Linked DNA regions of Alligator mississippiensis. The protein of the gene in region 3 interacts with the protein of the main gene of each other region in a pairwise test. Links are inferred from orthologs where the notes say so. Each region holds a gene or a part of one and is shown on either strand. Other genes may lie near its edges. The genes, in order: LSM10, CLNS1A and LSM3.

Region 1 (5,322 bases), on a different chromosome or scaffold from region 3:
TCCAAGAGTTTAGCATCTCACACAAAGGTAGTCTTCTTCCATCTCTTTCAGGCTTTGCTAAGTTCTTGACCTCAGTGGAAAGGAATCCCATGCTCCATGTGTTCTATTAAAAAAAAAAAAAGTTTTGATTAGTTCTGAGTTTGCTGCTGTTTAATTGTATATGGGATCTCCTTGTTCTTGTGTGAGAGATCTCTTGATCATACATTATTTTATATGCTTCTACTCTGCCCATTTGCTTGTTCCGTTTTTCAAGCAGACCATGCCAGTATTTTCATTCTCCATCACTGGGGGTTGTTCCAGGCCTCTACCTTGTCACCCTTCTCTGAACACTATCCAATTCTGCACTGTCCATATTAACAGAGAGAGGGAACAGTAGTGCGCAATACTCTAGACCAGGCCACCTCCTTGACTTCTATAATGAAAGTCTAATTTTTCTGTATTATCTGTTGTCCTGTTCCTCATGCATCCTTAAATCTTGCTTCTCTTGAGCACTTTTCAATATTTTGAGAGGTGGAGAAGTTTAGTTTTCCAAATTTAGCAGCTATTCTAACTATCCAGGAAATTACTTTGTTCTGTATCTGTAAATTCAAACATCTAATTAATGTGTATGTATGTGCTAAACATCAGGACCTACATTTATACCACAATAACAGAAATGTGTTAATTATGTCACTCCTGAAAAATGTTTTCTTAATGAAACCAGAAACAAAAATGTATGGTCAGTCTCTGGATTGATAAACAAATAACAGCTTCATTTATTGCTTTCTGCAGGAGAACGCAGCCCCTAACCCTCTTGCTAAGGAAGAACTGAACTTTTTGGCTAGATTAATGGGCGGTCTTGAGATCAAGAAACCCAGTGGCACTGAGCCAGGATTCCGATTAAACCTGTTCACCACAGATGAGGAGGAAGAGTATGCTTAATTCAGAGCTTGTTTTGTGCATGTGATTTTGGTGCTGGGTGAAGTGCTGTGTTAAGAGTCGTGGAGACAGAAGCTGTCTCTCCACAATGTAAGTACAGTACTGGCAACCCTTCTAGTGTCTCAATTCTGACTCGATTCCCCAATGGATTCCATTGGGGAATAAGGGGTGATATTCAATCTCTCTGGCACGGCCCCACCTTGGCCTCCATTTTGAGATTACTAGCAGGGGAGCCAGTTTACATTGGGAGTGTAGAGACTGCTCCTCTGGAAGAGAACTGATGATACCTCACTGCTCAGCAGCGAATGATCTCTTATCAGTAGAAACTTGGTCTTAGATTTGAACCTGTGGCCAAAAGTGAAAGAAACTGTAGCCCATTACCAATACCCCTTTGCTCCTTTCAGACATGCATATTACGGCCTTCACAATAGCTCAGCCAGTCAGGTCTCTGCTGTGATTCTTCTAGTTCCCCTTTGGTAAAGTGAACAATTTTCTGGCTTGCAGTGATCAGGGGAAGGCTATGAACCATTCCATTCCCTGATGATGGGTGCAGAACACATTTGGTACAAATTCACCTCAATCAAAGAACCATTCCCATCACTCCAGTCAGCAGAAAACACACAAACCTGCAGAGATATACAAAGATGGTTGCCTGTTCTCTTGTCCATTGTAGTCACATAAATGGGGAAAGTTGAGTCAGGCTTCCAAGTGCTAACTTATTAAGCATCTCCAGACAAATGTTTTCTTCATTCATTCATTCACTTATCATTATGGGATTGAGTAAATGTGTTTATACTTTCTATCCAGACATGCAGCATTGACCAGGCCAGAAGAACTGTCTTATAAGGTTATCAATATACAAGCAACTCAGGTACGTGCAGTGATCTTTATTATGTGATCTTTATCATCTCCTTGCTGCCAAGGGTTGACTTGTATCTTAAAGATGCATTTGATGTTTTAAAAATATTAGCATGCTTTTGCAGAACCTGGTTAAGATCCCAAATCAATTAAGGAAATTCTACAAAGATTTGGCTATTAACACATTTGCTATTAACACATTTGTTGTACAATAAACCATTCACTGGCCAAAGCCCAACTTAAAAAAAAAAATGCCAACAAAGACTAGACTGGATTGTTCTCGTGCTCCTAGCTGCAGTCCTGCAGGAGATTAAGTTTAGCAGGTGAATGTTTGTAGCATTGGTAGGTAAATGCAATCCAAGTTCCATATTATGTTTCCAATCCTGTGGCCCTTACACAGTCAGCATCCCCACGGACTTTGCCTCGTTTGGGACCACAAATTGCATCATTAGCTGTTCTAGGGAAACAACTGTCTACATTCTTTTACTGTTGTTTATTTTCAGCAGCTATTCAACTGTTGATCCATGAGGGTTTTTAATTGTGCAGTTACTGAAATCTCTCTCTGTTGAATTTACTTTTCATATACATAATATTCAAAATAGAAAGGACTTTTCTAAGGTTAATAAAATGTTAGCCTTTACACTTGAGCCCTTTACCCAGTTACTCTGACTGAAACCATTGTGAAATGAAGGAGTTACATGGCGGGGTCCTTTCCTTCTAAACAGGATCAAGAGCGGAACAAGGAGCTGGCTCAAATCATGGGGGAATTTGAGGTGACGGATCAGCCCAGACAGAGCACCAGCAAGGGAGACGATTTGCTGGCGATGATGGACGAGCTCTGATATTCCATCTCCCAAAGGCACAGGCAGGACATGGAGCTGCCTCTAGTCACGTAGTTTGACACAGCCAAACCCTGCTGCCGTTACAGATCCCATCTGTTGGTTTTGGGACTGATGTGCCTAGGCCCGCACGTGGCACCAGAAGCAGGCTCTGGGGGCTACTGACACATGTTCTGCCATAGGCACTCTGGTTTTAAATGTGGCATTTTACATATTTGCTTCCTTCATCTTCTATCATAACTCTAGGCTATCCCATGCCAGGGATGCAGCTGCCCAGTAGCTGCAACGAAAGTGCAGTGTTCGTGTTCTGCCTGTATCCTCCTCCGCTGGATGCCGGGTTCTGTCCATGTCCTTTACTGTGAGAAGTGGAAGCTGGCACAGTGTCTACCAGCCAGTGCCTGGCTCTCATAGATGGGGGAAGGAACCACTCCTCCTTCATCCAGAATCATTGTCAGATGTGTGTATCCATGTGTCCAGCATCACACACAAGACACCCGGGCAGCGCACAGATGAAGTGAGTGACACCAAGTGTTCTGCTCCGACCTGGGCTGTGTCCGTGTGGCTGCATACATGCCAGGGCTCCCCCGGGGCCACCATGCGATATGCCACTGTCTACCTTGGTCCCTGCATGAGCAGCACCTGCAGTGGGGCTCCCTGTGGCTGCTGCATGCTTCAACCCCTGGCATCTGCACCCTCTGGCTCCCAGTGCTGTGGCTGAGGGTGACACCTGCCATGGGCTCATGGGGTTGCTCCAGCTGGTGATCTTTTGCCCTGGATTACATTTGTGTAGAGGATTTATGAATGTACTTCCTGTCCTGTGTTGGCCATGTAGTGTAGACAAGGCGGTCGTGACTGTTCTAGGTGATCTGAGCATCGCGCTGTCTGTCATCAGGCACAGAACAGCTCCCTGGTTGGTACCGACTGCACCGAGTCGTGCCTCGACTTCTCTCCACGTTTCCAGGGAAATATCGCTTCTTGCCTGTACTGGAAGTTGCTGTATGTACTGTGACCAAATGCTGGTGTTGGTGGAGGTGTCCTGTAAGGAGGAAATAAAAATGAAAGCTAGGCTTGTGTTTCAGAGTACCGCAGAAACCAGAATAAACTTCAGTGTGTCTGTGCTTGCGTCTCAGAGTTGAGTGTGTCCGGGAGCGAGGTCTGGCCGTCTCAGCAGTGTTGTCATCCACGTTCTGAAATGCCGCAGGGAGGCAAACGCGTGTTTTCTGAAGCCTGAAGTCAACCCTAAGAGCCACGAGGGGGGAGAGGGGAAGGGCGGGGGTTCAGCGTTCACACGAGCCAGACCCGATTGCTGGAGCCGGGATCCCTCCTTATTAAACCGCTTGGGGCCTTCTGTTTCCGGGACCAAATAGCTATTCCACGCTCGTGACCCGCTCCGCGCGGGTCGGGTCCGCGCAGCGCCCACGTGTCCACACAGCGCGCCCGCTCCCGCCTTGGCACCGGCCGTTCAGTGCGCAGGCGCGGCGACTAGCTAATCCCCGTGAGGCTCACTCGGCTGCTCAGTGCGCAGGCGCAGCGGCAGCCAATCCCTGCGGGCCCCGGCCACTCACTGCGCAGGCGCGGCGGGCCGGCCCACGCACCCCTTGACTCCGGCGAGGAGCGGGCCTGTCCGTGTCCGTGTCTCCGTGGCCATGTGGGCGCCGGCGTCGCCGCGGGAGCGCGCCATCTCGGAGAACAGCCTGGTGCTGCTGCTGCAGGGGCTGCGCGGGCTCGAGGCCACCGTGGACCTGCGCGACGAGAGCGCGGCCACCGGGCGCGTGGCCAACGTGGACGCGTTCATGAACATCCGCCTGGCGCCCGCCGCGCTCACGGACCGGCGCGGCCGCCGCCACTGCCTGGAGCAGCTGCTGGTGGCCGGGCGCAGCGTGCGCTATGTGCACCTGCCCGACGGCCTGGACGTGCGCGCCACGCTGCAGGCCCAGCTCCGCCTGCTGCAGCGCCTGCGCCGCCCCGCGCCCGCCGCCGCCCGCCGCGAGTTCCCAACCGCCCGCCGCAAGTGAGCGCCGCCGCCGCCTCCTGCCCCTGCGGAGCCCAGCACCGCGACGCCGCCACCGCCCCCGGGCTGACGACTCTGGGCCGGCCCCTTCCGGCCGCTACCGCCGGGCACCGGAGGACGCAGCTTGGTGTCCCGTCCGCAGGCAGCGGAGACGTTTTGCAAATAAACCCCCGTGGCGGGAGCTGCTGGACCCTGTGCTGTGCTGTGCTGTGCTGTGCTCCGCTCCTAGCGGGGCCTGTCGTTGCCGCGTGACCGCGACCTTTGCTGGCCCGCGCCCGCGCTGCCGGGGCCGGGCTGTACCCCGAGGTGCTCAGGGCCGCCGCCTCTGCAGCACTCCGGCCCTCGCAGTGGGCCCTGGCGGAGGTCTGGTGCAGGAACCCGGGTGCCGTTGTGCCGGAGGCAGCCAGGGCCGTGCAGCTCCTGGCCTGCCCGGCAGGGAGGCCTAGTCTGCAGCCCGCGTTTCCCCGGCGGGTTCTGGGCCGGGCTCCCTGTGCTGCGTGTGCCCGTCACGCTGGAGGCCTGAGGTTCGGCTGGGCCGGGCCCTGCCCCCAGCAGCTGGGGGGGGGCAGCTGGGCCGCGGCTGCAGAGTGGCAGCACACGCACGGCGCCGTCCCGGTCCCCGGTTTCTGCAGGGCGAGGCCGGGCAGGAGCTCCCGGGGCCTGGGCGTAGCGGTGGGATGGGGGCTGCCCGGGAGC
Region 2 (7,618 bases), on a different chromosome or scaffold from region 3:
CTTCCTGGAGCAAGGGGTTGGATTAGATGACCTTCTGAGGTCCTTTCCAACCCTAATTTTCTATGATTCTATTATTTTTCTATTATTATTATTATTACCAGCAAAGTTACTACATGAGAAGGTTACAGAGTCTGAAAACTGAAGCAGCTGATAGTGCTAGAGAGGTGGAAAGATTTTCAAGTCAGTCTATTTAAACCATAGCTTTTAGGTGGCTTTAACATCTGCTTAGCAGAAATGACCTATTAGAATTACAGAGAAAAGATGTCTTTAATAAAGATTTAGCACTCGTGCTCTACAGCTGAGGCGTTACATTTCACCCCACACATGCTCCCCTAAGAAGTCTTCCAAAACAGATATAGCAAACCTGATATTTGTAAAAGATTTTAAAACGTAATTTAAAAAAAAATAAGCCCTGCAAATTTCTGTCCAAACCGTGAACAATAAAGAAATGGCAAAAGCCTCTGTAAAAAAAAGTCTGTTGTAGGAAATCTTTAAAGATTCAACAAGCCTCTAAATATAAGCAACTCTTATGGAAGTTGCTCGTGTGAAATAAACATTCCATGAACATGGGATGGAGGTTTCCTGTCTGCTCTCCATTAGAAGGCATGTGAGCACCCATTCACGAGATACTAAATGAGTGGAGTAGAGGAGTGCAAAGCAATGCATGGAGCATGGGAAGGGGGCACAAGAATCTAAGGGAAACTGGCTAAGCAGAAATGTTTAAGGAGGTTCAAGAGAGCAGAGGGGTGAAAAGTGACATTTAACAGGAACATGGTCCTGTGAGACAGTTTAACTTGCCCAGAAGCAGGAGAGCAAGTGCAATGGTAGAATGGTCCTAATACAAGCACTCAGCTGAGGTCCCAAGAGAAAGAGAAGAGGCCCTAGGATATGTTGTTTGAAATGAGGAATGCTGGGCAAGGACTGGCACTTCTGAATCCCAAGCTCCCCACTGTTCATAACTGACTGTTCAAGTGACAAGTTACCAGAGGGTCACATTGCAGGCATACTATACCTTCGAACTTGGCATTCACCATGACATACAAATGCTCCCATGGATAGGCAGTGAGGTCCCTGGAGACAGCATGTAAACTTATGGTGGGGTAGTCCAAGGAGAAGCCCAGACCAGAGTTATCAAACCATGACAGGCGACTAAGGGAAAAAAATAAATAAAAGGCAAGTCAGGAACTCAGGAAAGCCGTGACATCTCGCAGACAACAGCCAAATCAGCCACACCCACACGACAGACGGTGTGAACAGCGTTCACCCAGTCACTGCTAAGCCCAGGCTCCATCTCTGTGCTAACAGGACTTTCTACCTGAAGCTAAACATGACCAAAGCTACTTTTTCCTCCAGGACAAGTTTCAGCTCAATGTGCAGGTCACTTCTTGACCTAAACACACACAACTCTTGGGTATTGTTGATAAATTCCAGGCCAGACATAGCTACAATGCTCCTGCTTCTCCAGTTCTGCAACTGCTTTCCTACTTCTGCCCAGCAAGCTCTTTTCCCCCCACTTCTCCAAGCAGGCAGCTCTGTACTTGGATTCAGCAGCACCTGGTTCTCCCACAACACAGATCGCTGATAACGCAACTGGTGCATACGCTGCCTCCTTCTATCCGTGGCCTGTAAACAGCTCTGGAAAAAGCCTTGCAGCACATTAGAACAGAGCAGGGAGGAAGAAGCAAGAACAACTTGTACGAGCTGCAGACAAAAGTCTATTGAAAAAAAAAAAACAGGCCACAACTGGGCCCTGTGTGGGTTGACAGCACTCGCTGTTTGAGCCGCAGCTCCATCCCACCAACAGAGCGGCAATCGCAACTCCAAGCGGGAACCCAGCACAAGAGGTTGCTCCACAACAAACCCCATCCCATCTCTCCTTCGCTGAGGACCCCAGGACCGTCTGGCTTCTCAGCCAGCAGCGCGTCACCAAGATTTTTCCTGCTGCCGAGCGCTCTTTGCTGGCACAGGGCTGCAAGACATACAGGAGGCCCAAACCCGAGCCTCCTGCAGCTGCCTAACAGCAGTAATGCCAACTATCACAAAACCATCCCGAGACTCAGGATTTCAAAGACAAAATAACTGACTCGCGATCTCCATATCCAACCATCACATCTCTGGATTTTCCCAGCTGGTAGGTGGAGGGAGAGGGGCAGATGGAGGCCCCCATGGTGAGGGAGTGGGGCAGGGATGAATGGGGCCCCGGGGCCAGGGCACGTTGTCCAGAGGCACGGGGGGAGGCAGAAGTGTGCTGTCCACTATGGACTGGGCTTTGCACCATGCTGCATTTGCCCCACGCCCCAGTGAGCCTCCTGCTGCCGGGCGGGCAGGGATTGTGCTGCGTGGTCAGCGCGCCCACATCCCCTGCCCGTGCAGTGGGTGGCAATGGCATCACATGGCTGACCTCCCAGAGCGAGGGAGACGGGCACAGAGCCCCCCAACACCTTCACAAAAAACCCACACACACTTCAAAAAATAGCATCTCATGATTTGGGGCAAGGCAGGGCTGGCAACACTGTAGCACCACCGACCTGGCTCATCCCAGCCGTGCACGGGGCACGTGGGACAACTCCCACGGGTCTGAGACTCTGCTCCCCTCCTTACAGACCAACTCCCCCCCTTGATTCTTGGTCCACCCGGGGCTGAGGGTCTCAACTGACTTCGGGACTCGGGATCGTCTCCCTGAGGCCTTCTCACCCCCCACCCCGGGCTGCAGCTGGGCCTGGGCAGCCCCGCGGAGCCCCCGGCCCGGCCGCACCTCTCCGCGATGTAGAGGGTGCCGGAGCCTAGGGCGCGGCCGCCCAGCACGGCCTCGGTGTGGGGCTGCTGGTGCCGGACGCCCTCGGCCGGCGGCGGGAACCGCTTCAGGAAGCTCATGGCCACCCCGTCCCGTCCCGCTTCTGCCGTCGCCGGAAGCGGAACCCGCCCGGGCCGGAGGCGGAACTACCGCTTCTCCCCCCCCGCCACCATAGAGAAAGAAGGCGGCACGCTGGCCCCCGGAGCCGCCACTCTATGGTCAAGCCGGGACGGGGGGAAGTTGAAGCCCTCGCTCCATTTGCAGGCCTGTCACGTGACGCCGTCGCGAACGCTACGTCCAAACCCCCTTCGCCGGCCAATGAAACCTGCCCCTCCCGTCACGTGACGCGCGGAGGGCTGGTGTAGGGCCCCGAGGCGGAGTCACTGTAGTGCAGGCCCCGCCCCCCCCGGCAGGGGCAGTGACCCACTCACACCCAACCTCAGTGGGTGACTGTATCCATGGCAACAGCCCCTCCACCTCCAGTGGATGACAGCCGGGAGTATCCATGGCAACAGCCCCATCAACCCCAGTGGGTGACAATTGGGAGTATCCATGGCAATAGCCCCTCCAACCCCAGTGAGTAACTGTTGGCAGTATCCACGCCAACAGCCCCTCCAGCCCCAGTAGGTGACAGCTGGGAGTATCCATGGCAACAGCCCCATCAACCCCAGTGGGTGACAGTTGGGAGTATCCATGGCAACAGCCCCATCAACCCCAGTGGGTGATAGTTGGGAGTATCCATGGCAACAGCCCCATCAACCCCAGTGGGTGATAGTTGGGAGTATCCATGGCAACAGCCCCATCAACCCCAGTGGGTGACAGTTGGCCATCCATGCCAACAGCCCCTCCAACCCCAGTGGATAACAGCTGGGAGTATCCATGGCAACAGCCCCATCAACCCCAGTGGGTGACAGCTGGGAGTATCCATGGCAACAGCTCCACCAACCCCAGTGGGTGACAGTTGGAAGTAGGCATGGCAACAGCCCCTCCAACCCGTGGGTGAAAGCTGGCCATATCCATGGCAACAGCCCCATCAGGCCCAGTAGGTGACAGTTGGCCGTATCCATGGCAACAGCCCCTCCAGTCCCAGTGGTGGTGGTATCCATGGCAACAGTCCCTGGTGCCAGGCAGGACCTGTGGGTGCCTCTCGACCCCGCTCGGCTGTGCCAACCGCCCCAACGGGCCCTTGCGCGCAGGCTCCCTGAGGGCGGCAGGGTAGAGCACGCCCAGGCTGAGCTCCCACGTCCCCAGGCAGAGCAGGCCCGCAGCGTCGCCGCGCCGGGACCACGCCGCGCTGCAGGTCAAGCCAAGGGCCGTGCAAGCCTGAGGTCCGGGATGACAGCGAAGCAGGGGCCGATGCGGCTGTACTCACCAGGCAGGAGGAAACCCAGCAGGAACCGTGCTCGGCCTCTGCCAACACAGCGTGCCCCAGCCTGTGCCCCGCGCCAGCGCTCTGCCCATCGCTACGCAGCGGCAGTGGCCAGGCCCATTTGCCACAGCCCACCTGCCTTGGCTGGCGCTGGCAGGACCGGCGTCTGCAGCTGTCTCCCCGCTCACCGGCGCCCGTCCTCTTCCTCGCATCTGTGGCTCTTCGCTCTCCACTTTCCCATCTGGGGCCTCGTTTCTTCTTCACAGGCTCCGCATCGTTCCCGACTTCTCCGGTGCGGCTGGCTGGGAGCGCTCAGCGCTCATCATGCCACCCACCAGACAGCTGACAGCCCTGCCGCAGGGAGGAGCGCCCGTCTCCCGTGTTTGGCTACGTCTCCTCTCCGAAGGAAATGATGCCGGCGGAGGTGACAGCCTTGCGGGAACAGGAGAGGGAAGGGGAGCAGGCCCCGCCACCCCCTTTCCGACGCGCCTGGATTTTGCCATGCCAGTGCCCGCTTTTCCCCTCCCAAATGTTCAGCTATATCCCAGTGAGACTAGTGACTCCCTCAAGCGGGATGGATAGCCTGACTTGGAAAACTTGCTCCTGGATCAGCACCTGGCAGCATCTGACTAGGGTCTGTTCGTAAACGTGGCAATTGGACCAGCCCTTACGTTGAGTAGCCGTGGTCCGTTTCAGGGCTGCTAACAGCTGTCTGTGGATCAGCCAGGGCTGTCTCAGATGTCACTGCCTAAAAGGTGACTGCTGTATTCCCACAGTTTGTAAGGATGAGGGATGCAGATGTGGGGAATGTAGCAACCACTACCGCTTCTGGTTCCTTTACTCTGCCCTTCCTCTCCTGGTCCCAATCAGACACAAATAGAAAATAAAGGAATTACAGTATTGTGATCCATAGCTGAAGTGCATGGGCTGGACACAAATGCATGCCTCCTTCAACCGCTACAGAGACAACTGTCCTAGGCGTTGTCACTCTTTGGCATATCTGTTCAACTCTTTAAATCATCACATTGCATCCAGAAAGAGCATGCACCAACTGCAGATGCTTCCTCAGCCTGACGAAGGGTATTTATACCTGAAAGCTTGCAAAGATGATTTTTTTCCCAACTATTTGAGTTGGTCTAATAAAAGATACCAGATTTACACAAAAAAACCTTGTCTCTCCATTAAAAGAGGAGGCATTTCACTTGAAAAAATCCATTTCCTTGTGAGCTGTGTTTGGCAGAGTCTCGTGCAAACCGCTCCAGCCTAAGGTCCCAGTACTCATCCCATTTGTGTTTCAAGAGCCTGTGTCTTCAGCAGTTTTGCTGTCTTAAAATGCTCACCATCTAGAAAACAAAAGCAAATAGAAGCATTAAGGTGATCACCAGGTTCAGATAAGAGAACTCATTAGACTCAACTCACCTTCCTGGACAGCGTTGAAAGTTTAATGGGCTGTAGCCCTCACTATGAAAGGCAGCAAAGATAAGAAAAAAAGCATGAGAGCTATTCAGTAACCATCACCCAATCCACTACACTGGATTTTGGCTGCATGCGCAGAATTCCACATTGAGCTAAAGGGAAAAAAAGCAGAGTCACAAATAACAATCGCCAATTCTCTGCTTGACTTTCTCTCTGATGAGGATGTGGTGGCCTCATGAGAAAGGGGTTCAAAGGCCTGGGACCAGATTCTACTGCAGACGTGGCTACATCGCAAGCTACTGCCAGTTAAGATCAGTCAGTTGCTGGCAGTCTCAGGACAGATATCTAACGTTGCAAAAGCGGGAACATTAGCCTACCCTCCTAGACCCTGGTTCTGTTCATATCCTTGGTCTAACTGCACTTTTTTAGCTACAAGTCTGTATTGTAGATGTGCTGCATTGGTGGAAAAGGAGGCTTTGTATTTAAGCACCAACACAACAATCCATAACATCCAGGAAGCTACATCAGTGCAGATTTCTCTTGCTGAGACAAGTTCCTCGAGGTGACCCTTTTACACTGCCCGAGAACAGGAGTAATGCAGCATGCTACTATGAGGCAGTTGTGCTAAGAGATGGGTATTTTAAAAGGGTCAAGATGGATACAATTGCACCTCTAATGTCTCCTACCTTGATATATTTGTCTTTTTTTCCTTATACTCCTGGTTAGCAATGGGTTAAGCCATTTTTCTTTGAGGAAAAGGAGCCAGTTGAGGAAATTAATTCCCCACATACAACAGGAGGGAGGGAGTTGGAACCACCAAGTCATACTTTAGACTTTTTGAAGTTAATAAAGTCAATGCTGCCTTGTTCCAATTAAAAGTCTGTCCTGCACACAAAGCAACTCCATGCTTTCAAGTTTAACTTGGAAACAAATCTTCCCGTTATAACTTGATAACTGATACGATCTTTGAACTTTTTTAGCCCTCACAAAACCCACAGAAGATTCAAGTAACCACAAAGGGGACAATAAGGATTACATTCGCTAAAAGTGCTAAAATAAAATTTGCACTGATAAACTTTTTATAATTGGGTATTTGCATTGAACCCAGCAAGGACAAGAATTGAGGCTGCTCTGGGGCCCAACTGTAGGTTTCCCCTCTGTTATAAGGCCATACAACTTTTATGGCTTCTTAGGAAGGAAAAAGGATTTATAGATCAGAGCCACAGGGTTCTTCTTCTGTTGTCCATTTCTGGCTTCAATTATTCAAATCATTGCTCAGGCAAAGAATTCCCTAGGTGGCAGGTGCTGGGACTGTCACTGGGCAGTGGTACTTCAGTATGGCTGGGCACAATTCACATGAATGAAAGTTTACAGGATTGTGCTGATACAGGACAAGAGGGAGCTGAGGACTGGCTCTATACTCAGGCTTGCTTCTCTCCAGTTGTGCCTAGCTAATGCCAAGTGTTTGCCCAACAAACTTAAACTGTGCTTTCCACTTGCTACAATGATCCACAGCAGACCGGGCAAGATCAAGCATAAGCACATTATAAATATTATCACTCACCGTGGATCACAAGCTGGAAGAAAGGACAACACTGTTTTATAGTCTGACCTGCCTCTTGTCTCAATATCCAGACAGCCCTTCCCACTGTCTCTGCAATTATTGAGGAAAACTGCAACACAGTCCATTGAACTTTTAGAAAAAGGGAATGTTTTTATTAAGGAAAAGCCCACAGTGGATTATTATGCAGAACAGCAAGTTGTATTACCTTAAAGTGCATGCTCCTTAGGGACTGAGGTATTTATTTTTGTTGTGCCATAGATTTTTGTGCAGAGCTTGCATGCGCTTTGCAAAAGGCAGCATAGTGGCAAGTTGGTTGGGGACTGAGAGGATGAGTTATGCATCTGATACGGACAGTGAAGACTTTTGCCACTAGAGAGGGGAGAAAATCCCCACCTTCTTTTTCCCTTTAAAAGCCAGATGCCCCACTCCCAAATATCAAATACTGGATTTTACAAGGCCAGGTAAGGCATTACAC
Region 3 (7,162 bases):
GGTCCCCCCACGTTCCTGTGGGACGCTCCATGCGCCCCAGCATTGCAGCATTCATGAGCCACACCTGGTACACCTCAGGGTGTGTAGAAAAACATATAAAACTGTGTCTATGGCTGAATCACTGATTCTCTGAATCAGCATCGAATCTTCAGATTTGGATTCGGCCAAATAATTGAATCAGGACAGAAATCCAAATCAGTTAATCGAATTGCTGTTCCCCAAATCGGGCTGAATCTAAACCTGAATTGAATACAGCCTGCTTCGCACACTCCTAACTTACAGGATCAGCATTTTAACACATGCCATGCACTGTGACCATTTATTGGACCCTGCATAAAGATGGACGGGTTCCACTGAAAGCAGCCAGAATCAGTTAAACTATCCCAAAGAATGTCTGATAGTTGATAAGGCCATGTTGAAAGATTCGTACCTTCCACATCCTCCCATTCATCCTCACTTTCATCATCATTGCTGCCATCATTGTTTTCATCCATCTCTTTTTTAACAGTGGATTCTCTCTTCAAACTCTTCCCGTTCCCAGAGGGGCTTGGTAAACCACTATAAAGGTTGCACAAAAAAAAACTTCAAAGTTGTGGGTTATATCATCTTGTTTGTTTAAAATGTGGAGGGAGGACAATGTCTGTACTAATTAGAGGAACACATGTAATATGACAACGTTATCAATAACAACAGCTGCAAAAGCTTAGAATATACTTAAAACCTAAACCACAAATACCAGCATGGACACAATCTTTGCAAGCAATACATGGATGATAAACACAAAATATTTCACTGGCATTTTTAAGTCTGTTTATGTTGCATTATAAAATGCCTCCAATTTAAAAAAAAAACTATAATTTGGGGGGTCTTAAGTCCTTAACAACTTCCTTCTGAAATTAAAATACACATTAAGCTTGGAAAAGCCTCAAACGCTTTCCACCCCCATTCAGTTCCATACACTTGATCCCATGAACATGCACACAAGTAATTTGGCTCATATGTGAAGCTATGATGAACAGAATGGTACCAAACAGCAGAAGTAAATTTCTCCTATATGAGGTTTGTTGAACTGGGTGTTAAGTAAACATGTTTAGCAATGGACATGTAATAGTTGTATTGATGCAGTCAGTTAACTTACCTGCACATTTCCTCCTCTTTAGGATTTCCTTCATTTTTTATAGCTTTGTTATTTTTCCCCTTTCCTCTTGACTTTGATTCTTTTTGGCTTGTAGCTCTAGTTGCTGGACTGTAAACTCTAGTGTCACCATCTTCTTTCTTCTTCTTCTTTCCACTGAGGGCCTTTGAGACACTCCTCTTCAAAATAGGCTTTTCCTCTTCAAAGTCATCTAAATTGGAACAGAGGGAAAGAAGTGTTATGGAGCAAAATCCTGGCTCTCTTGAAATCAACCATAAAACACCTACTGACGTCAATGGGGCCGAGTTTCTATGGAGCAAAAAATGCAGGCTAAGAGCGAACAAACTGCCTTTAAGGATATCCTTAAAACAAATGGGTAGCATTAAATCAAAAAGCACGTGTGAAATAAAATTATAAGGAAAGTTCAGCTCAGAAGACAAAAGATTTATTCCTGGGTCTTTTCCAATGATGACAAAAAAAAAGCAAATATTCTTGCTTCAGTACTGCATATTGAAGCATCTACTGCATAAAAAAAAATCTCTAGGCAAGTGGAATTTTTGCAAGTTTGATTTAAATAACCCCTTTTCTCAAGAGTCTCCTGAAGCAACAGCAAGCTGCTTTCTTAACCTGCTGCGTCTATGTACTACTATGATGAATTGGATAGATCTTACACGTATGAAATCGATCTGGTTTCATGCAACATAGCAGGCTTACCTACCTTTCAGATTATGGCCTAATGTAGTTGAGATAAAGTTAGACAAGTTTTCACATGTAAGATATTTTTCTCAGGTCTTACATGTGAAAGCTTGCTTATTTTCATCCCAACTCCATAGTTGGTCCAATCAAAGATCTCACCCTATGAAATCCTTGCCTCTTGCATTATTTCTGGATCATCATAGTTACAACATCACTCTTACACTACCATAGAGGGAGAGAGCATTCACTTAGATAGCTCTAGAGCAATCTACACCCCGCTGGCATTCAATATCCCCCCTGGTATCCACGGGCAAATCTAGGATTTTGAAAAGAAGGGTGCAGATGGTGTAGAACATCATATCATAGGATCACAGAAAATTAGGGTTGGAAGGGACCTCAGGAGGTTATCTAGTCCAGTGGTTCTCAACCTTTTTTTGTACAAAGACCCATTTGTAAACATTGATGGCCAGTCCCGACCCAGTGCCCCTCACTCCTGACCGACTGCTTTCTGCCGCCAGCTCCCCAGTGTGTGGGGCAGGAGTGATACATGTGGGGCATATGTGTGGGGCGTGGGGCATGGGGCATAGGGCATATGTGTGGGGCATGGGGGGCTCCAAGCAGCCCGCTGCAGGCGGGAACTCTGACAACCTGCAAGAGAAAAGCCACCGTTTCCCACATTTTATTCCTTTAAAGGAGAATCCATTTTGTTGATCCATTTTTAAAGTTTGTTCAAGACCCTCTCTCATATTCTTGCTACCCACTTTTGGGTCACAACCCATATAGGTAGAGAAACACTGAGCTAGTCCAACCTCCTGCTCACAACAGGACCATCCCCAACTAGATCGTCCCAGTCAGGGCTTTGTCTAGACAGGTGATCTGCCGAGGTCCCTTCCAGCCCTAACGTCCATGAAATCTATGAAAAAATCTCCAAGGATAGAAATTGAAACTAAAACTACACCACTATCCTTCTACTTCTTTTCCTTCCATTATAACAAGGCAGGTTGTTCATTCATTTGTTGCTTCCACCGTTTTACAGACAGATATAACCAAAGTATAATACAAGTAACTGTAATTTGAATCAATAATACAATGAGCAAAGGGCTGTAATAATGTAAATCCTTGGATGAAGATCCGATGGGTCAGGTTATCCCACCGGTTGTCTGCAGTACTTTCTTGGATGCTAGCACTCAGTTCCTGGAGCTGTTTGTTTTTTTGATCCATGAGCATCCCCACAACTTTCCCTTCTTCTTTTAGGAGAGACCAGTCTTTCTCTATTTACCAATTTCTTCCAGCTCCTTCCACAGCCAAATGTGCAAGTTAAGGCCACCCACACGAAAGCGCTGTACTACGGCTTCTGGGTCAATCTGTTGTGCAACGATCCCAGCGCTCGCCCCTAGGAGCCCAGGGCAGGGGGTCGGACTTCGTGATCCGTTCAGATCCCTTCAGACCCTAGAAACTAGGAAACGCTTTATATTTGATGCCTGGGATCCAGGACCTCACCCGTCTGTGTGGAAACGTTACGGCACCACGCTCCCTCTTCACGACCGCTCCGGGTAACCTGTGCCGGTGCTTTTCTACCCTCCTTGCGAAAGCTTTTCCTAATATCCTACCTAAACTTCCCTAAATGCAACTCACATTTTTTTTCCCCCTCCGGTCAAAAAAGAAACTTGACGCTTTATTAATATGCTAAGGGGGGGGGGGGGGCACTATACTATTAGAGCAAAAAACAACTATAACTATTGGAGTGCGCGTGAGTTTTCTAGAGCATATATAAAACTTAAAAAAAAACCCAAAATAGTCAAAGGGTATCGTATCGTCAGTGCTGAGGTCATCAAGAGTGAAAGGCATGTCTGTCACTCAGTTATATAACAAGATCCAGCCGTGTCGGGCTCTGGTGCTTTGCTGTCAGTCATTTCCACACCCGAGTTAACGTCTCACCGCCCCGGCACCGAGCCCGGCTTCACGGTCCGCGATCCCGGGGCCTCCAGCCGGGCCGCCGCCGCCGCACTCACCGTCCGACCCGCGCGGGGGCTTAGGCCTCTTGCTGGCGGCCTCCCGCGCCGGGACCCCGCGGCGCTTTCTCCCCATGCCGCAGCGCCGGCTCCCAGCCCCGCCCACCTGACGTCCCTTCCGGCCCCAGCACCCCGCCCCCCTCCCGTGAGACACCCGCCCCCTTGAGGTGAGCGGTGCCCATTTCACAGCTGCGAACACTGAGGGCTCGCGGGGAGACAGGCCACGCCCTCTCCCCTCGCGCGACGCGTGACGTCATCACGCCCCCAGCCCCGCGGGATGTGGAAGGCGGGTTCGTGGGATCTCGCGAGAGTTCGTTTGAAAGATGGCGGACGAGGTGGACCAGGTGAGGCGCTTTCCCCGAGCCGGCTCGTGTCATCCGTGTCTCGGCCGCGCTGGCGAGGCCTGAGCGCTGGGACGCTAGTGCTGGTGGGGCGGGCGCAGGCTGCCAGGCCCTCGGGGGATTATGCCCCGTTTGCTCAAGTTGCCGCTTCTGGTGGACGCTGGCTTGATCGGGGTGTCTGTGACACAACAGCAGTGTCCTCGCCCTGTCTCTGCCTGCGAGCCCCGGGGATTAGCACACGCAACGTCCAGGGGGTTTCATGCTTGTAATAGGAACCGCCTCGTTTTTTTCTCAGCAACAGACAACCAATACCGTAGAGGAGCCGCTGGATCTCATCAGGCTCAGTCTAGATGAGCGAATCTACGTGAAAATGAGGAACGATCGAGAGCTCAGAGGGAGATTACATGTAAGCGAAGATCACAGAATCGTAAATAAGGGTTGGAAGGGAGCTCAGGAGGTCGCATCTAGTCCAACCCCTGCTCAAAGCAGGACCAGCCTCAGCTAGATCACCCCCGCCAAGGCTTTGTCTAGTCAGGTCTTAAAAACCTCCAAGGCTGGAGCTTCCACAACTCTTGGTGATCTGTTCCTGTGCTTTACTACCCTCCTAGTGAGGGACTTTTTCCTAATATCCAACCTAAATCTCCCTTGCTGCAACTTGAAACCGTCGGGCATTTTTACCCATGCATGTGCCACAGCGCCGGGCGCTTTGAAAAGCACGTGATGCTGCAATGCATGCGGTTGGGTAAGTGGTGAAGTGCGCGTCAGAGCGTGGAAAATGGCGGTGGTCCACTTTTGAACTAAAACACATCAAAGGTGTTTTCATTCAAATGCACGCCGCTGCCATTTCCTCCGTGCTGGTGTGCATTTTGCCATTTATACAACTGCAGATGACGCAGTGCGGTGTGCATCAGCTCGTGTGCAGAGCAGACTCAGTTAATTAAGTCGATTAATCTGCTCTGATGCACTGGATCTGTGGTGCGTGGCAGCATGAAAAAGTATGTGTATAAATGCCCGTTGTTTCTTGTTCTGTCATGTGTCACCACTGAGAACAGTCCAGCTCCATCCTCTGCAGTCCCACCCTTCAGGGAATTGAATGCTGCTATTAAGTCCCCTCTCAGTCTTCTCTTCTCTAGACTAAATAAGCCCAGTTCCCTCAGCCTTTCCTTATAAATCATGCTCTCCGGCCCCCTGTCCATTTTGTTGCCCTCCACTGGACTCTCCGATTTGGCCGTATCCTTTCTGTATTGGGGGCCCAAAACTGAACACAGTACTCCACATGTGGCCTTACCAGTGCTGAATACAGGGGAATAATCACTTCCCTTGATGTGCTGGCAGTGCTCCCACTAATGTTAGCATTCTTTTCAACAAGGGTACGCTGTTGGCTCATATTCAGCCTATTGTCTGCTATAACCCACAGGTCCTTTTTTGCAGAGCTGCTGCTTGTCCAGTCAGCCCCTAGCCTGTCCTGGTGCATAGGATTATTCCATTCTAAGTGCAGGGTTTTGCACTTGTCTTTATTGAACTTCATGAGATTTACTTTGGTCCAATCCTCCAATTTGTCAAGGTCTCTCTGAATCCTAGCCCTACCCTCCGGCATATCTACTACTCCCCGCAGCTTGAGTATGCAGATGACACCAGCTCCATCCCATTATCCAGATCTGTGGAAATACTTGGGATCAGAGGTCAGTTGGGCTGCAAGGAACCTCTTGAGGTTGTCTAGTCCAGCCCCTGCTCAGGGTAGGATTGCCCCTGACTAAACCATCCCAGCCAAGTGCCTTTCCGACTTTCTCTCAAAAACTTCCAAGGACAGAGATTCCACAGCTTCTCTAGGTAGCCTGTTCCAATGCTTGACCACCCTCATAATCGGAAGGTTCCTCCTAATCTCCAACCTAAATTTCCCTTGCCGTAGTTTGAAGTCATTGCACCTAGTCTCTTTCCCCTATAGTTACAGAGAAACCCCATCTCCATCATTTCTATAGTCATGACTTGGGTATTTGAAGGCTGTTATCAAATTCCCCTTGGTCTTCTATTCTGCAGGCTGGTGAAGGCTGGTTCAGTAGGTAGTATTAGAGACAGATGATGCCTTCATTTCTGTTGTAATGGTGAACTTGTCTGTAGTGCTGCATGCAGGTTACCATAAACTAAATTATGATCTTAATTTAGGGGTCGGCGTCTTTTGACATGCATGTTGTAAGTGGCATACGCTGCATCTATGAGGCACAGGAGATCAGGGAGGCAAAAGAGAACACGGTGGCAGATAGGGCAGAAAGTAGAGCAGGCAGAAGAAGGGAATTAGAGTGACGGACTGGGAGGGTGCAGGGCTTACCATTTGGGTTGGTCTAATAAAAGATATCAAATTCACCCAAGGAACCTTGTGGGCTTACCATGTGACACTTCAGCCAAAAAGTTGGCTTCCCACTGATTTAAAGTTGTATGGCAATTTTTGCACCTGGCACGCAGCACAATCATATCTTGTGATTAGAAACATCTGAAAGGTGGCATATTTCCCCCCTTTGCAAAAGAACTTACTCCTGCTTTCCATACCAGATGTTCTAACAATGTGATAATTCAGAGCAGTGATTGTCAACCAGGATAGCACAGTTCCTCAGGCTGCCATGAGATTTTTTTCAGGGAGTGCTGTAAACAAGTGATCCAGTAAAACTGCCCTGCATGTAGTGCACATCCTTCCTGCGTTAGGGTTCTCTAATAACTGTAAAGGAGACAGCAGGGTCAGCTTGTGCTGTAGCCCATCCCAGTTAACCCCAACCTCAATCCCCTGACATGCCAAAAATCAGAGGCATGCATGACAGCTCCACTGTCCCACCTGACTCTTCCTGGGAGATATTGTGCAGTGGCAGACCTAGAATGGCTGCAGCACAATCCAATAGGGCTGCGCAAAGTTTTGGGTACTGATTTGATTCAGAGGAGATTTGGCCCAATTCGGTAGCCAAATCTCCGAATCCAAATCAAATCGGGAC

What was found.
Region 1: the proteins of LSM3 (region 3) and LSM10 interact in binary tests that used the Homo sapiens proteins (3 or more experiments, as listed by UniProt). The link is inferred for Alligator mississippiensis from reciprocal best matches to the Homo sapiens genes LSM3 and LSM10.
Region 2: the proteins of LSM3 (region 3) and CLNS1A interact in binary tests that used the Homo sapiens proteins (3 or more experiments, as listed by UniProt). The link is inferred for Alligator mississippiensis from reciprocal best matches to the Homo sapiens genes LSM3 and CLNS1A.

Annotation. Positions count from the first base shown.
Region 1 is NC_081829.1:240,181-245,502, reverse strand, and holds LSM10 (U7 snRNA-associated Sm-like protein LSm10), read left to right. Parts: upstream 1-4,033; 5' UTR 4,034-4,261; coding exon 4,262-4,630; 3' UTR 4,631-4,816; downstream 4,817-5,322. Other genes in the region: protein OSCP1, read left to right, coding at 1-27, 772-911, 1,726-1,789, 2,502-2,618. UniProt on the Homo sapiens protein: Appears to function in the U7 snRNP complex that is involved in histone 3'-end processing. Increases U7 snRNA levels but not histone 3'-end pre-mRNA processing activity, when overexpressed. Required for cell cycle progression from G1 to S phases.
Region 2 is NC_081824.1:465,355,028-465,362,645, reverse strand, and holds the start of CLNS1A (methylosome subunit pICln), read right to left. Parts: upstream 3,001-7,618; 5' UTR 2,875-3,000; coding exon 2,756-2,874; intron 1,150-2,755; coding exon 1,013-1,149; intron 1-1,012. UniProt on the Homo sapiens protein: Involved in both the assembly of spliceosomal snRNPs and the methylation of Sm proteins.
Region 3 is NC_081835.1:16,882,346-16,889,507, reverse strand, and holds the start of LSM3 (U6 snRNA-associated Sm-like protein LSm3), read left to right. Parts: upstream 1-4,089; 5' UTR 4,090-4,166; coding exon 4,167-4,187; intron 4,188-4,479; coding exon 4,480-4,590; intron 4,591-7,162. Other genes in the region: XPC (DNA repair protein complementing XP-C cells), read right to left, coding at 431-558, 1,139-1,346, 3,844-3,919. UniProt on the Homo sapiens protein: Plays a role in pre-mRNA splicing as component of the U4/U6-U5 tri-snRNP complex that is involved in spliceosome assembly, and as component of the precatalytic spliceosome (spliceosome B complex).